4 linked regions of the Saccharomyces cerevisiae S288C genome follow. Each later gene encodes a partner of the first gene's protein in a complex. Each region holds a gene or a part of one and is shown on either strand. Other genes may lie near its edges.

Region 1 (3,534 bases):
CCATGAAATTTTTTTTTTCTAGCGAGAAAAAAAATCAGAAAAATTACTATTAGTGAGTATTGGAGACATTGTCAATGGGAGATGTTCTCTTTATAATATCTTCAACAGGTTCTTTCAACTCTGGAAATTCATCCACAATCTTGTCAGCAAGTGAATCTCTTAATTGCTTCAATCCATGCATCTTGCCTCTTTGATATTGGTTGGATCTTCTTATGGCTTCCACGAACTCTCTTGTGTAAATATCTGGATTTCTACCGTCCTCAATGTATTGAACAACTTCCAAGGGAATGTCCACCTTAGACAAGCTGGATTGAGGATCGTTGCTTCTCACGTTCAGCTTGTACAAGCGATCCACATTTCTTTGCAAGTTGGTGATCATTCCCTTGGTGGCTTCTGGAGTACCAGGAAAATCATATATCGAGACACCTAATTCAACGAAGGACTCAATAATCGAAGCCACTTGGTCTTGAGTAGTGGCCAGTTCTTGCTGCAATTGTTCATTGTTAGTGCTGTTTCCATTCATCTTATCGGTTTATTTTTCTATATATTTGCCTCTTTCTCAAACAGGAGTTAGTAGTTAAAAGTACGAAGTTCTTGTTCTTTAATGCGCGCTGACAAAAGAATTGGATAAAAGAGAATGGTGGGGGGACAAGAAGGAAATTTGTCCTAGTTTAACATGAATGGCATCTTGTTACCGGGTGGACATCACCTATTGATTCTAAATATCTTTACGGTTTATCATACTGTTCTTTATTCCGTCGTTATTCTTTTTATTTTTATCATCATTTCACGTGGCTAGTAAAAGAAAAGCCACAACATGACTCAGCAAATCTCGACAAAGTAAAAGCTCATAGAGATAGTATTATATTGATATAAAAAAAGTATACTGTACTGTTTGTAACCTTTTCAATGCTTTAAGATCAAAACTAAGGCCAGCAAAGGTATCAACCCATAGCAACTCATAAAATGAAGACCTATCATTTGAATAATGATATAATTGTCACACAAGAACAGTTGGATCATTGGAATGAACAACTAATCAAGCTGGAAACGCCACAGGAGATTATTGCATGGTCTATCGTAACGTTTCCTCACCTTTTCCAAACCACTGCATTTGGTTTGACTGGCTTGGTTACTATCGATATGTTGTCAAAGCTATCTGAAAAATACTACATGCCAGAACTATTATTTATAGACACTTTGCACCATTTCCCACAAACTTTAACACTAAAAAACGAGATTGAGAAAAAATACTACCAGCCTAAAAATCAAACCATTCACGTATATAAGCCGGATGGATGTGAATCGGAGGCAGATTTTGCCTCGAAATACGGGGATTTCTTATGGGAGAAAGATGATGACAAGTACGATTATCTGGCCAAAGTGGAACCTGCACATCGTGCCTACAAAGAGCTACATATAAGTGCTGTGTTTACTGGTAGAAGAAAATCACAAGGTTCTGCCCGCTCCCAACTGTCGATTATTGAAATAGACGAACTTAATGGAATCTTAAAAATAAATCCATTGATCAATTGGACGTTCGAGCAGGTTAAACAGTATATAGATGCAAACAATGTACCATACAACGAACTTTTGGACCTTGGATATAGATCCATTGGTGATTACCATTCCACACAACCCGTCAAGGAAGGTGAAGATGAGAGAGCAGGAAGATGGAAGGGCAAGGCCAAGACCGAGTGTGGAATTCATGAAGCCAGCCGATTCGCGCAATTTTTAAAGCAAGATGCCTAGATAGATAGAGTACGATATATAACCATATGTATGTGACTAATTATTTATTCCTTAATAACACCAATGATTACAACTTTCTAAAGCTGGCGGAGAATTCGCGCTGTACGAGAAAAGAGCGAAAACAGAGGAATATTCAAACTAAGAACCAAACTGCGATAAAGAGGATTGAAAGGAAAAACGAAAGAAAAGGTAAACTGACAAATATATACATTAACCGATGGGTAATTTCAGATTTCCTATAAAAACCAAGCTACCACCAGGGTTTATCAATGCTCGCATACTTAGGGATAACTTCAAAAGACAACAATTTAAAGAGAATGAAATCCTTGTTAAATCTTTGAAATTCATCGCTAGAAATATGAACCTTCCAACAAAACTGAGGTTGGAGGCTCAGTTAAAACTAAATGCATTGCCAAACTACATGAGATCTACGCAGATCAAAAATAGGTGCGTGGACTCTGGACATGCAAGATTTGTTCTAAGTGATTTTAGGTTGTGTAGGTATCAATTTAGAGAAAACGCTCTGAAGGGTAATTTGCCAGGTGTTAAGAAGGGTATTTGGTAAAAAATTTTATCGCGAAAGTATATATATATATATATATAGGATACGCACTTGTAAATAAATACATGATAATTTTTATTCTTCTTTAATAGATGATAATACTTACTGAGCAATACACTTATATGTAGAGAAGAATAAGATTATACACATACTGGGAGAAAAACAAGTAGCTATAGTTAGAGCTAAAATAACAAAAAAAGGCATACGTACATACAATGAGAAAAGGAATGGGATTGAAAAAGGGCAGTATCTGCCACTAAGTTAACGACTGAGAGATCGAGACACTCCTATAACAAGACACACTTCTTCTTCTTCTTTTCAGTAGTGTTCTTCTTAGCTTTACCATTCGTTTTAGATTTACCCATCAATGAAGCTCTAGTGGCGGCCTCAAACACTTCTCTGACACCATAACCAGTCTTGGCCGAACATTCGTAGTATCCGGTTGCGCCAATCTGGTCTGCTACAGATTGTCCCTCCTGTGATGTAACGGGTTGTTGACCTTCTTGTCTTAATTGTTCAATGGTTTGTGGGTCGTTTCTCAAATCCACTTTACAACCAACAAGAATAATTGGCACACCTTGACAGAAATGTAATACTTCGGCAATCCATTTTTCTTGTACATTCTCTAAAGAATCTGGAAGATCGATAGAGAAACAAATTAATACGACATTGGAGTCTGGGTATGACAATGGTCTTAGTCTATCATAATCTTCTTGACCAGCGGTATCCCATAGCGCTAGCTCTACACGACGCCCATCAACTTCAACATCTGCTACATAGTTTTCAAAGACAGTTGGTACGTAGACTTCTGGAAATTGGCCCTTGGAAAAGACGATTAATAAACATGTCTTACCACAGGCACCATCACCAACGATTACCAGCTTTCTTCTGATACTGTTACCAACTTGTTGTGACATCTTTCTAGTATAATTTTTAAAGTTCTATGATTTTCTATTAGTGCAACAATAAACCTCTAACAGCGATTCTTTTGTTTTATTAATTTTGTTCCTTTTTTGAGTTTTGTAACTTTAAGTTTGGGTTGTTCCAAAAATGTTTTTGCAATACTCAGAGGAATGATCGATGGTCGAAACGATATTAAAGACGAATTCCTGCTGGTAAAATAAATATATACGATTAGGATAAAGAAGTATTTGTATCAACTACTAAAACATGTAGTACCCAATACAAATCAAACAAAAATTGTATAATCTGTTTATTTT
Region 2 (3,664 bases), on another chromosome or scaffold:
AATAAGTACACCTGAAACAATTAAGAAGTCATTGAAAAAATTCTCTCTTTCCTTTACGACTATTGTTCTGCCAAGCTCAAGCGAGCTATACGATTGGCTATCTTCTTCTTCTATCCTTGGCAAAAGTGGCTCATATTCATTAAAAACGTCTTGTAAGACAGTCTCATTTATGGGGTTTGCTGGAGGCAAATGCACAGGATCAACATTTTTCTTGACTTCTTGTAAAATGCTCTTCTTCTCCTTGTCATACCACATGCACTGTATTAACAAAATTAAATCTGCCAATGTATAGTAAGCAGCTAAAATTATCATGGTTGGGAGTAAATTTTGCATCATAGCTCCCATGACGTTAAATATATCACCTAATAGCCACAACACAATGAAAAGCAGTGATAATCCCTCCGCAGACTGTCTTCGGAAGTTTTCATAAATCTGTGGTACAAACACAACAATCCAACAGCATATTGATATGGATCCAGCCATCCCACTGAGATTCTTAGCATTCAAAATAATTGGGATCAGCTTCATGGCAGAAATTTAGGGATGCTCGCTTGAGGCTATTACGTCTGGGTTATAACAAAATATTGTGGGATATTACAGGAGAATAGTTTATTTATATGCCTGAACCCGGTGTTATTTGTAGTATTTATGGTTTATATTATGACTCTTTTTACATGTAACGGTCATAGTAAAATCTATTCTGATTTGCATCTTATCATCTCCTTCTTTTTTCCAATGGAATTTGAGTCATTGCTGCAAGGCCCCTTTGCTTTGCGGGTGAGAGGAAAAAAAAGATGAAGTATTATGTGCAGTAAGTAGAAGAAAATACTAACTGAGCAATATTCGAATACATATAACTTTATTTACAGGAATAACGAACGAGAGTTGTGCTTCTAATGCTGGGCGGCGTTGTATGCAAAATATATAACGTTTCTTCTGGCATGTGTCAAAAAACTCAGAGCACGCACGCTTCCGTTCGAAATTGAGGTAACAAGATGCACTAAGACTATCTCTTGACCCATGTTGGCATCTTTCTTGCCTTCTTTTTTCCTGGCTTCTTTCTTTCGACGTGCCTGTAATCTCTTGTTAAGACGCCAGCTTTATGTAGTCTGGATTTTAATAATGGATTGAACACAACCAAAGCTTTCGCAATGGCGTGCATGATTGATTCAGCCTGACCCGTAGGTCCGCCTCCAGACGTTGTCGCAAAAATATTGTACTTTCCAACTGATTCGATCACTTGAAGTGGATACATGATTGATTCTCTGTCTTTCATCTTAAGGAAGTAATCATTCAATTGTCGACCATTAACTAATATCTCACCTGTACCTCTAACAACGAATACTTTCGCAGTGGAACTTTTCCTTTTTCCAACGGCTATACTTCTTCCAAACTCATCTAAAGTTTTGATTTTGATATTATTGGAAAGCATTGAACTTTTTTTATAATATTGGGATAGTTCGGATGTGATTTCATCATTAGTAAGTTGAGGATCAATGTTGTGAAGTTTATTCAACATATACAGTAGCTGAGTATATTGCGTAGGCTTTAATTTCGTACCACCGCCGATTAAAGCGTACTCATCGAAAGAAATCCAAGGAGCTTTTGTTTGTTGTGCTTCATTGTTGTTCTGAGATGGCAGTTTTATGTATTTCCTTAGAAGTCTTTCGAGTCGATTAATACGATCTTCATGGTTAGGATTCGCCGAATAAAATGTGGCTAGCTTTGGGACGATCCTTCTGGGCAATTCATCCTCGGTTTTTTGATAAATAGTCCTAAAAGACATTCTCATAGGGGCAGGAGCCAGAGCTGCCCTTCGAAACAAAGAAAGCCTTGAAAACATTCCGCTTGGCTCAAACTCTGTCCACAACGAGTAAATTTTAGCTAATCAATTTAACCAATTTCTACTCCTCCTGGTTTCAGTTTCCAGTCGACATTATTAAATTTCTTTTCCGTAAATGGCCTATTTCAGTTTGTCTTACGCACGCAGTTGCTAGTTTTAAATATATCATTTTATACGTAAAGTTCATCTATATATCACATTATATGTCTCGTAAAACAATGGATTACAAAGAATTAGATATTGAAACGTTTGTATAGGTTGTTCTTGTAAGGCAAAATACCAAATGTCCACCGGTTCTCGCAAAGTACAGAATCACTCGCTATTTACTGAAGTTCAGAAATGGAGTAATTCTCATTGTTACAAATAAATCGTAAAAAGTCAATATCTACAAAATAGCTTATATAAAAAGTAAAAATATATTCATCAAATTCGTTACAAAAGATCATTTAGAAGTCTCAACAACATATCTACCAACAATTTCACCCTTCTCCATCTTTGCAAAAATTTCAGGAACATCCGATAGGCCAGCTAAGTGGATCGGAGATTTGATCAAACCTCTGGCGAAGAAATCTAAAGCCTCCCTTGTATCAGCTCTATTTCCAACACAAGATCCAACGATGGAGATTGATTTTACAACTTGATTGAAAACATCGGAATTGCAGTAAGCATGAGCTGGCATACCAACCAGGACGACAGTACCATTGGGCCTACAATACCTCGTAGAAGCCTCGATAGCTGCTTCAGAAACAGACACATTAATAACTCCATGAGAACCGCCATTAGTGGCCTTTATTATAGCACCAACAATGTCTTTTTCTTCCGTGAAATCGATGAATATTTCTCCGCCTAATTGTTCAAATAACTTTCGCTTGGCATTACCACCATCGATACCAATGACCCTGTAACCCATAGCAAGGGCGTATTGGATTGCCAGAGAACCCAAGCCACCGCATGCACCGGATATAGTGACCCATTGGCCTGGTATCACATTGGCTCTTTTCAACGCCTTATAAACAGTGATACCTGCACACAAGATTGGGGCAACTTCAGCAAGATTGACGTTTGGTGGAATATGGGCAGCTTGAACGGCATCGGCAGTTGCGTATTCTTGAAAAGTACCATCATGTGTGAAGCCAGTACCATCCAAATAAGGACATTGAGATTCATTACCTACTTCACAATATTCACAGGACATGCAAGTCCCATTCAACCATTTTATACCTGCAAAATCACCGACTTTCCAGCCCTTAACGTTAGATCCCAACTTAACAACAACACCAGCACCTTCGTGACCACCGATTAATGGAAATTTCAATTGAAATGGCCAATCACCGTGCCACGCGTGCAAGTCACTATGACAAACACCAGAATATTTAACGTGGACTAAAATTTCGTTAGGCTTAGGTTCCGGAACTGTGACGTCTTTATATTCCAATTTTCCATCTGTCTCATAAAAGACAATAGCCTTTTGTTTTTCAGGAATGACTTGCGAAGGCATGATGCTTTGATTTTGTAGATATGTAGTTAAATAATTTTCTTAGGTATCTTCCAATCAGAGACATTGTGAGACAGTAAAGCAGTAGTTTGCGCTAGAAATATCTTGTAGTCCCTCTTTTATATTCGTAGTATGTTATATAGATTACAATCTAGACAATACGAAGGAACGATCCCGCGTCAGCAGATGTCACAATTTGATTATTTCATTGTCACATGCTTTTTGACTCATCCTTCCGCGAAAGGAGAACTTTTTACAATGCCGCCGGCTCTGTTAGCGTACCCTTCTACAAGCAGATAGCAGAACAAACACATGATATATTCAAA
Region 3 (4,005 bases), on another chromosome or scaffold:
GTCAGTCTTAACAGAATTCCGTCATGAAGGTAATTATGTGTTGAATTTTGCCACACAACAATACAAATGTTGGATTTCGTTGCCAATTGTATTTGTACTAATTGCTGCGTTACAATTAGTTAACCTGTATTGGCTGTTTTTAATTCTTAGAATCTTGTACAGATTGATATGGCAAGGTATCCAAAAGGACGAAAGAAGTGACAGTGATTCTGATGAGAGCGCTGAAAATGAAGAATCTAAGGAAAAGTGTGAATAAACGTATCTTAAGGAGAATACGTATCATCATATGATTTCCCCCCTGTATGAAGGCCAAGTTAACATGGTATAGCTCATAGTTGTTGTTATAAGAAGCATAAACCCAAGTACGAAAGTAATAATTCTGTAAAAAAAAAAAAAAATGCGTTTATTTAGCGTCTTCGGGTTGGCTATATATATATATTTAAGGATATATGGGCATATGTACAAGTTTAGGTTAACAAGCCAAAAGAAAATAAAAGTGTTCATTTTTCGTTATTTCTGGCCAAGCGATTTTGCAAGCCTCTTTGGCCAGCTCTCGCCAAGACTCCTAGTAAGAAATTGACAGATCTCAATGAATCATCGTTACCTGGGATAGGGTAGGTCACCAAAGAAGGTTCGGAGTCAGTATCGATGATTGCGATAGTTGGGACCCTTGATTTAATTGCTTCTAACAAAGCGTTTCTATTTTCTGTGGGATTTAATACGACCAGCAAGTCAGGCTTAACCTGCTTTGATGTTTCATTCGGTGATAACGCTCTTTCGGTGGGATTGTCATTAGAGTCGATTTCCTGCTTCTCCCAGATACCTGAAATTTCTGTAGAATTCGTCAAAGTACCCGGGATCCATCTGGTAGACACATAATAACCATGTGTCTTCTTAGCAGCTTCCTCGAGCCCTCTTTTCTGGCCTTGTCTTGTACCCAGAAATAGGATAATGCCACCGGATTCCGAAACGCCCTCTACTACCTTGGCGGCTCTCTTCAAATAGGACAAAGTTTGGTTTAGATCTATTATGTGAATACCTTTATATTCACCGTATATGTAGGATTGTGTGGAAGACCTCCAAAGTGAGGTAGACTGGCCCAAGTGAACACCAGCAGACATTAAGCTCTCAACAGTAATGTTTTCTGGGAGGGGCGGATAGAAAATGTCCTTATGAGGATAGTAAACCTTCGAAATAGTGGCACCCAATTTAGCGGTACGCATGGAATGGTTTAGTTGACGCAAGAAAAGTTCTTGAGAGGAATATGGTTTGTCATTGGCCGAAGGTATAAGGTTAGGGTAAGGCTTGGTTGGCGTGGCTGCTGCTGTCGTTGTAGAAGATTGTCCATCTAATGTCTTGCTGTCAAACAACTTGTTCAACAGAGCATAATTTCTGAAAAAGTCACTCAATTCAGCCTCCAGCTGCTGTTCTTTGTCAGAGAGTTTGTCTTGCTCTAATGACTTTTTCAACTCAGGTAATATTTCATCTTCTGGTACCTGAGATAGAGACTTCAATTCTGATCTAATTTCATCATACAAAAGTTTCTGTTGCAACAGCATCACCTCATCGTTATTGTTAGGGGTGTTGGCCGCACCGGATGCTGACGACTGAAACCTTTTGGTAAGGGAAGGGTTCCTCAATAAGGAAAGACGTCTGAAATTCCTCGCAAAAACGTGTCTCTGCATGAGAAAAGAGTCGTTTCTCACTTTTTATTTCTCGAATCACCTGTATTTGTGCCCCGCGATAATCAGGCTCTCGAGCGTATGTACACTTGCCAGAACTGATTATTATTTACCATCAAATATAGCAGTGACCTACGACATACAAATTTCATCTCTCGGATTCACTTACCGAATTGATTTTTTTCTTGCACTCTTTTCTGACCCGGCACGGCCTTTTCTTACCGAGATAAACAGGAAAATAGGGCAGTATGCGTGTGTTATACGTGAGAGAGAGCAAGCGGGTGAGTATTCGTTTCATTACAGTTTATGCATTAACATAAACGTATACATATTACACATACACATATACATAGATAGATACATATACGCATATATTAATGCTCAGGTGCAATAACGGGTGCAACAACAGCAGCAGCAGGATACAATATGCAGTTTGAAGAGCGGTTGCAACAGCTAGTAGAAAGCGATTGGAGCCTGGATCAGTCAAGCCCAAACGTACTGGTGATAGTCCTTGGAGACACTGCCAGGAAGTACGTAGAGTTAGGAGGACTGAAGGAGCACGTGACTACGAACACTGTGGCAGGTCACGTGGCAAGCCGGGAGCGGGTATCCGTAGTTTTTTTGGGCCGGGTAAAGTACTTATACATGTACCTCACCCGGATGCAAGCGCAGGCGAATGGTCCGCAATACTCTAATGTACTCGTCTATGGATTGTGGGATCTCACCGCGACACAAGATGGACCGCAACAGCTGCGGCTACTTAGCCTTGTGTTACGGCAGTGCCTCAGTCTGCCATCTAAAGTTGAATTCTATCCAGAACCGCCTTCTAGTAGCGTGCCTGCCCGGCTATTGCGATTCTGGGACCATATTATCAGATAGCTGCATTGTGTTACATGCGATATCGTAGAAGACGATAGAACGAAAAAGAAACGTTAATCTTTTTTTCCTTTTTTTTTCGATTAAAAAAAAAAAATTTTCGCCTCGTGGCCCGAAACACGGCCAAGAGAGGGAATTCGAAAGTCTACCGCTTTTGGCAGCTGAAAAATTCAGAAAGTCACCTGGCCAGAGAGGAAAAATACGAAACCAAAAAGAGGCATCCGTAAATTCGCATTAGCAACGCATGCTTACATAGATACTCACATACTACACACACTTACATACTTTCTTAAAGACATACATCCGTACGTACAATTAGAGCGAGGTAGCAAGCAACCCAAACTTCTTCCCTTCACTGCCTCACACCCCATCCTAAATATCCCACAAGATCCTCGACTAATACAAGAAATGAGCAATGATCCATCTGCTGTATCGGAACTACCAGACAAGGACAGTCTTGATAACGGTATCAGCAATGACAATGAAAGGGCCATGGGCGGCAATGGCGATGGCGGCGATGGATTACGATTACCAAGGACCACTGGAACTTTGAACGTCAATGCCTTACAAAAAGGCACTAATGCTGCCCATGAAGCTGGTGGATACAAATCCATGGATCCTGCGAAGAACGCGGAGACAACCAATGATGATGACAATAATGTCGTTTCACTAGATGATCCTATTCAATTTACCCGAGTATCTTCCTCCTCTGTCATCAGTGGAATGTCTTCATCCATGAGTCCTCATTCTAACATCGATGAAACCAAATCTCTAGAAGCAGTCACTCCAAACATAAATACCAGCAATATAACCCCGGATCATTCTGCTGACAACACATTTTCTACCATAAATGCGTCCGAGTCAGATCACCAGTTTAATGACACTTTACTATCAAAACTGTCGTTAACAGATTCTACAGAAACTATAGAAAATAACGCGACAGTGAAGCACCAGCAGCCAGTTGCATCTTCCACAGTAAACTCGAATAAGAGCTCCACTGATATACGAAGGGCTACACCAGTGTCCACTCCCGTTATCTCTAAACCATCGATGACAACCACGCCAAGACAGATCAATTCAGCTTCCCATTCGCTTTCGAACCCTAAGCATAAGCAACATAAACCAAAAGTTAAACCGTCCAAGCCTGAAGCAAAAAGTAAACCGGTTTCTGTGAAAAAAAGCTTTCCTTCGAAAAATCCTTTAAAAAACTCCTCTCCACCTAAAAAGCAAACAGAAAAATCGTATTATTCTTCCTCTTCGAAAAAAAGGAAAAGCGGTTCAAATAGTGGTACACTAAGAATGAAAGATGTCTTTACGTCCTTTGTACAGAATATAAAGAGAAATTCTCAGGATGATAAAAGGGCCTCATCGTCGTCCAATAATTCTTCCTCATCTTCTATAACCACCGCTTTGAGGATATCTACGCCATACAATGCCAAGCATATCC
Region 4 (3,657 bases), on another chromosome or scaffold:
AGCGATCTCTAACGACAATTGTTGGAATGAAAATGAACTATCATCTATCAACTAGTAGTTACACTACCAGTATGTTATCATGTACGGTGTTAGATGATGACATAAGGTATGAGAAACTGTCATGGAAGTTAGACGAAGCTGAAATGCAAGGATTGATAATGTAATAACATAATGACACATATAAAACAGAGTGAAGAATAATCGTAGTACTATTATGTAGAAATATCAATTCCATTTTGAGGATTCAACCTAAAATTCATATGTTTTTCAATATTAAATATAAAGGAGCTAAGATTTGGCGTAGGATCTTCGTCTATAAATTTAGTTGCTGATAAATTATTCTCCATTGTTGCTTTTATTGAGTATTAAAGCATTTAATGCTAGAATCCTCCATAACAGACAGCTTCAGTAGCTCAGTAGGAAGAGCGTCAGTCTCATAATCTGAAGGTCGAGAGTTCGAACCTCCCCTGGAGCACATTTTTTTTCAAAACTTTTTATCACTGCTAGTAAAGGTAATGAATGAAGGACGTTACTGTAGTACTATACTCATCATCATTGTCTGCATTTTATAATATTATTATTTACATGGTCCGTATATTTTTTAATTACACGTATAAATACGGTCATATGTGATTGTTCTATTCATTTTACTCTGCATAGTACTTCTCCATCCAACTTTTTGGATATGGCTTCATTAATGTCCATAATGTTGTTATGAGCTCGAACTAGAATCAGTTCTCCTGGTTGTAGTGGTTTGATGTTTCTAATAGTTACGCCAGAGCATAGTTTCTTCATGTCTTCCATTGGCAGGTGTATTCTTGAATTTGGTTTGGAAATTAATTTGCAGCTGCTGAGGACAGGTTTGTTATCTCTATACTTCAATCCAACCCAAAGCCTTCTAGTAGAGATATTGTCTGGTGTTACTTCAACAAAATCTTTGTCTGGTCCCATAGTCGATCCCTTCTGTAAAGACGATAAGAACCCTTGTTGGTAAAGGTTATACGCAAACTGTAGCTGCAATTTCGTATATGGGATCGATGTTAAGGCAACTCTAACTTTCGAGCAGTTCTGTAAATGAGCACACGTATTCGCAAGTTTGACCAACGACATTTTGGGCGATTAGTTTAGATCGAAAAAAAGGTGTATGTGGTCGCTTCTTTGCCTTTGGCTTTCTTCTGTTTTTCCGTTCTTCTTCCTCAGTTTGTCGATTTAATTTCAAAAAGCGGTTTGTAAGGACTGCCGGTAAAGCTAAAATGAATGAATCCCCATAGGAAGATTAATACATAACGAGCCCAGATAAATAGACTACCTACATGTTGCGACCACTGAGAAAAAGCGTTCTAGCAAGCTGCCGACATTGTTTCAAGGTGTGCGGTGGGTTGCCTCAAAAGCAATTACCCTTATTTTCACCATTGCTCTTGAGAGCACGATACTCATCAACTGATAGCTCAACTAAAAGGTCTAACAAATCAGATAAAATAGATGCTCCAGGATTTAAGAAAATTTTCCTTGTTGCTATTATCGGTACAGTGATATTTGTCAAGACAGTACAGTCTTTAGATAAGAACAAACCGAAGACAACATTATCAGAAGAAGAATTCGAAAATGTGGTTAAAGGGTTGAAAAGACGTGTGGCTATCTTCCCACAAGGTGAGGTCGATATAAAGTTTTCCTTATCACCCAGCATTGAAGAAACTAGAAAGGTACTGCAGAAATCACAAGGCGATGATATAAATGAGCTGCAGTTTGTCGATCCAGTCAAGGTCATCGATTACTACAGAACCTTGAGGGATGATAGATATGAGGCTTTATTAAATGAATACTACAAAAAATACGGGTGTGACACGTACGCTTACAATTTGCCGACCGGTATGTTGGTCATGCTTTTGGGTAGATATTTCAAAGAGAACTTCAAGACCGGTGACAAGCTAGTAGTTGTGAACTTTCCTCATTCGATTGCTGATGCAACAAGATTTGAAAATGAGGTTTCTATAGTGTCTAAAATCTTTGTTCCGAGGAAATTGAGTGGCTCTGACGTCTGTAAATATTACGAAACTGTAGGTAAAGCTGATATCATCTGAGGATGTTTTCTTTTTTTTTTTTTTTTGGTTTCTTCTCCTTGTTAATAGCTTATATGTATATATATCTGGATATATGTCCTGAATATGCTGCTTATCTGTCATATAACATTCTCATTTTCTGTTCCCTTCATCTATGTGAATGAATTCTGTGCGTTTCTTTCGTTTCCCCTCTTTTGCGTATGGCTTTAAATCGATTTTAATCTGTAAAATCATCCCAAAATCAGATGGATAACATAGAAAACTGAACCGAAGGAAAGCCCATGTCCCACAAATTAACAATCCTGCCATTTCTGATTAAGTTCACGCCCAAGTTTCCACAATCCATTGATCACGACGAGCATGGTCTAAACGTTTATGCCTTTGATCTGGACCATACAATTATCAAACCAAAGTCCCCCAATATAAGTTTTAGTAGAAGCGCAAGTGATTGGCAGTTTATTAATTTTAACTCCAAGAAATCCACCCTGGATTACCTGTGTAATATCATTGATAATGATCCCACGGCCGTCATAGTCATATTTTCTAACCAAGGTGGTGTCATCACCGTCCCAAGAACTTCTAAAAGTTGCACCAAGTACACTAATAAAATTTTGCTATTTTTAAAGGCAATCAAAAACGATGAGAGAGGAGAAACGTTATCACACAGGTTATGGCTATATGCAGCACCTAAAAGGCCGAAAACTTTTGCAGCAAATCATAGTAAGATCACATTCGCAAGCTTAGGTGAAAGTTATAACAATGATCCTAACATATTCGAAAAAGTTCGAAAACCAATGACAGGAATGGTAGAGTTTTTTAAAAGGGACCTGGAAAGTGCATACAGGGTTTCAGAACAAATTTCTCCCATCAAGTTGAATTGGATATATTATTGCGGTGACGCTGCTGGGAGGAAAAAGGACTTCAGTGATTCTGACATAAAGTTTGCTGAAAACTTGCACGTTGAATTCAAGTACCCTGAGGAAATATTTCACGGGTAGTCCGTTGTAAAATGTTGAATATATACCAGTATATAGTAATATTTCTTAAAATGTTCATTTGTGATGGTGAAAAAGAATATGAAAGCAATGTCAGGATGACACCGTCTACAGGGAATTTGCAGTTGCTCTTCTTCGATAGTACGTATATCCAATTATCCCCAAAACGAACAAAAGATTAAAAGCGGCACAATATTTCGTAACCATAAAAGTATAGCTGTAGCAAAGCACTCCCTTTTTACAGTTCCCATCATCATCTCCTGTATTTGCCTTGAAATCTCTACCTAATATATCGGTAAAAACACTCACTGAAAATACACCACCAGTCGTTAAAACACCCCACAGCGTACTATACCCATTTGTGCCAAATCTATCTGCTACTATGGAGGGGAAAGTACCAAATAGAACGCCAAAAGAATAACCGAAGATCGCTGAGCATACCGAAATATTCTTGAATGATTTGGAGGCTCTTAAAGAAGGATCTTCAATGCTGCTGAAGTCATGGGATATTTTATTCGATGCAAGAAATACCAAAAGCGATGCTATGACAATATTCCATAGTCTTTGAGCTTTGAATTTCTTGACCAAAAAATCTGATATAG

The links.
Region 2: MRP2 (region 1) and MRPS9 share a complex: the UniProt entries of both Saccharomyces cerevisiae proteins name them as parts of the mitochondrial small ribosomal subunit.
Region 3: MRP2 (region 1) and MRP4 share a complex: the UniProt entries of both Saccharomyces cerevisiae proteins name them as parts of the mitochondrial small ribosomal subunit.
Region 4: MRP2 (region 1) and MRPS8 share a complex: the UniProt entries of both Saccharomyces cerevisiae proteins name them as parts of the mitochondrial small ribosomal subunit.

The regions. Positions count from the first base shown.
Region 1 is NC_001148.4:875,065-878,598, reverse strand, and holds MRP2 (mitochondrial 37S ribosomal protein uS14m MRP2), read left to right. Parts: upstream 1-1,969; coding exon 1,970-2,317; downstream 2,318-3,534. Other genes in the region: mediator complex subunit NUT2, read right to left, coding at 50-523; MET16 (phosphoadenylyl-sulfate reductase (thioredoxin)), read left to right, coding at 967-1,752; Rho family GTPase RHO1, read right to left, coding at 2,602-3,231. UniProt on the Saccharomyces cerevisiae protein: Component of the mitochondrial ribosome (mitoribosome), a dedicated translation machinery responsible for the synthesis of mitochondrial genome-encoded proteins, including at least some of the essential transmembrane subunits of the mitochondrial respiratory chain.
Region 2 is NC_001134.8:533,439-537,102, reverse strand, and holds MRPS9 (mitochondrial 37S ribosomal protein uS9m MRPS9), read right to left. Parts: upstream 1,844-3,664; coding exon 1,007-1,843; downstream 1-1,006. Other genes in the region: RTC2 (cationic amino acid transporter), read right to left, coding at 1-528; alcohol dehydrogenase ADH5, read right to left, coding at 2,286-3,341; YBR144C (uncharacterized protein), read left to right, coding at 3,554-3,664. UniProt on the Saccharomyces cerevisiae protein: Component of the mitochondrial ribosome (mitoribosome), a dedicated translation machinery responsible for the synthesis of mitochondrial genome-encoded proteins, including at least some of the essential transmembrane subunits of the mitochondrial respiratory chain.
Region 3 is NC_001140.6:96,899-100,903, reverse strand, and holds MRP4 (mitochondrial 37S ribosomal protein uS2m MRP4), read right to left. Parts: upstream 1,686-4,005; coding exon 501-1,685; downstream 1-500. Other genes in the region: sphingosine N-acyltransferase LAG1, read left to right, coding at 1-256; YHL005C (uncharacterized protein), read left to right, coding at 1,684-2,076; SHU1 (Shu1p), read left to right, coding at 2,109-2,561; mitogen-activated protein kinase kinase kinase kinase STE20, read left to right, coding at 2,967-4,005. UniProt on the Saccharomyces cerevisiae protein: Component of the mitochondrial ribosome (mitoribosome), a dedicated translation machinery responsible for the synthesis of mitochondrial genome-encoded proteins, including at least some of the essential transmembrane subunits of the mitochondrial respiratory chain.
Region 4 is NC_001145.3:569,701-573,357, reverse strand, and holds MRPS8 (mitochondrial 37S ribosomal protein uS8m MRPS8), read right to left. Parts: upstream 1,111-3,657; coding exon 643-1,110; downstream 1-642. Other genes in the region: YMR158C-A (uncharacterized protein), read left to right, coding at 27-164; AIM36 (Aim36p), read left to right, coding at 1,314-2,081; TPP1 (polynucleotide 3'-phosphatase), read left to right, coding at 2,342-3,058; YMR155W (uncharacterized protein), read right to left, coding at 3,164-3,657. UniProt on the Saccharomyces cerevisiae protein: Component of the mitochondrial ribosome (mitoribosome), a dedicated translation machinery responsible for the synthesis of mitochondrial genome-encoded proteins, including at least some of the essential transmembrane subunits of the mitochondrial respiratory chain.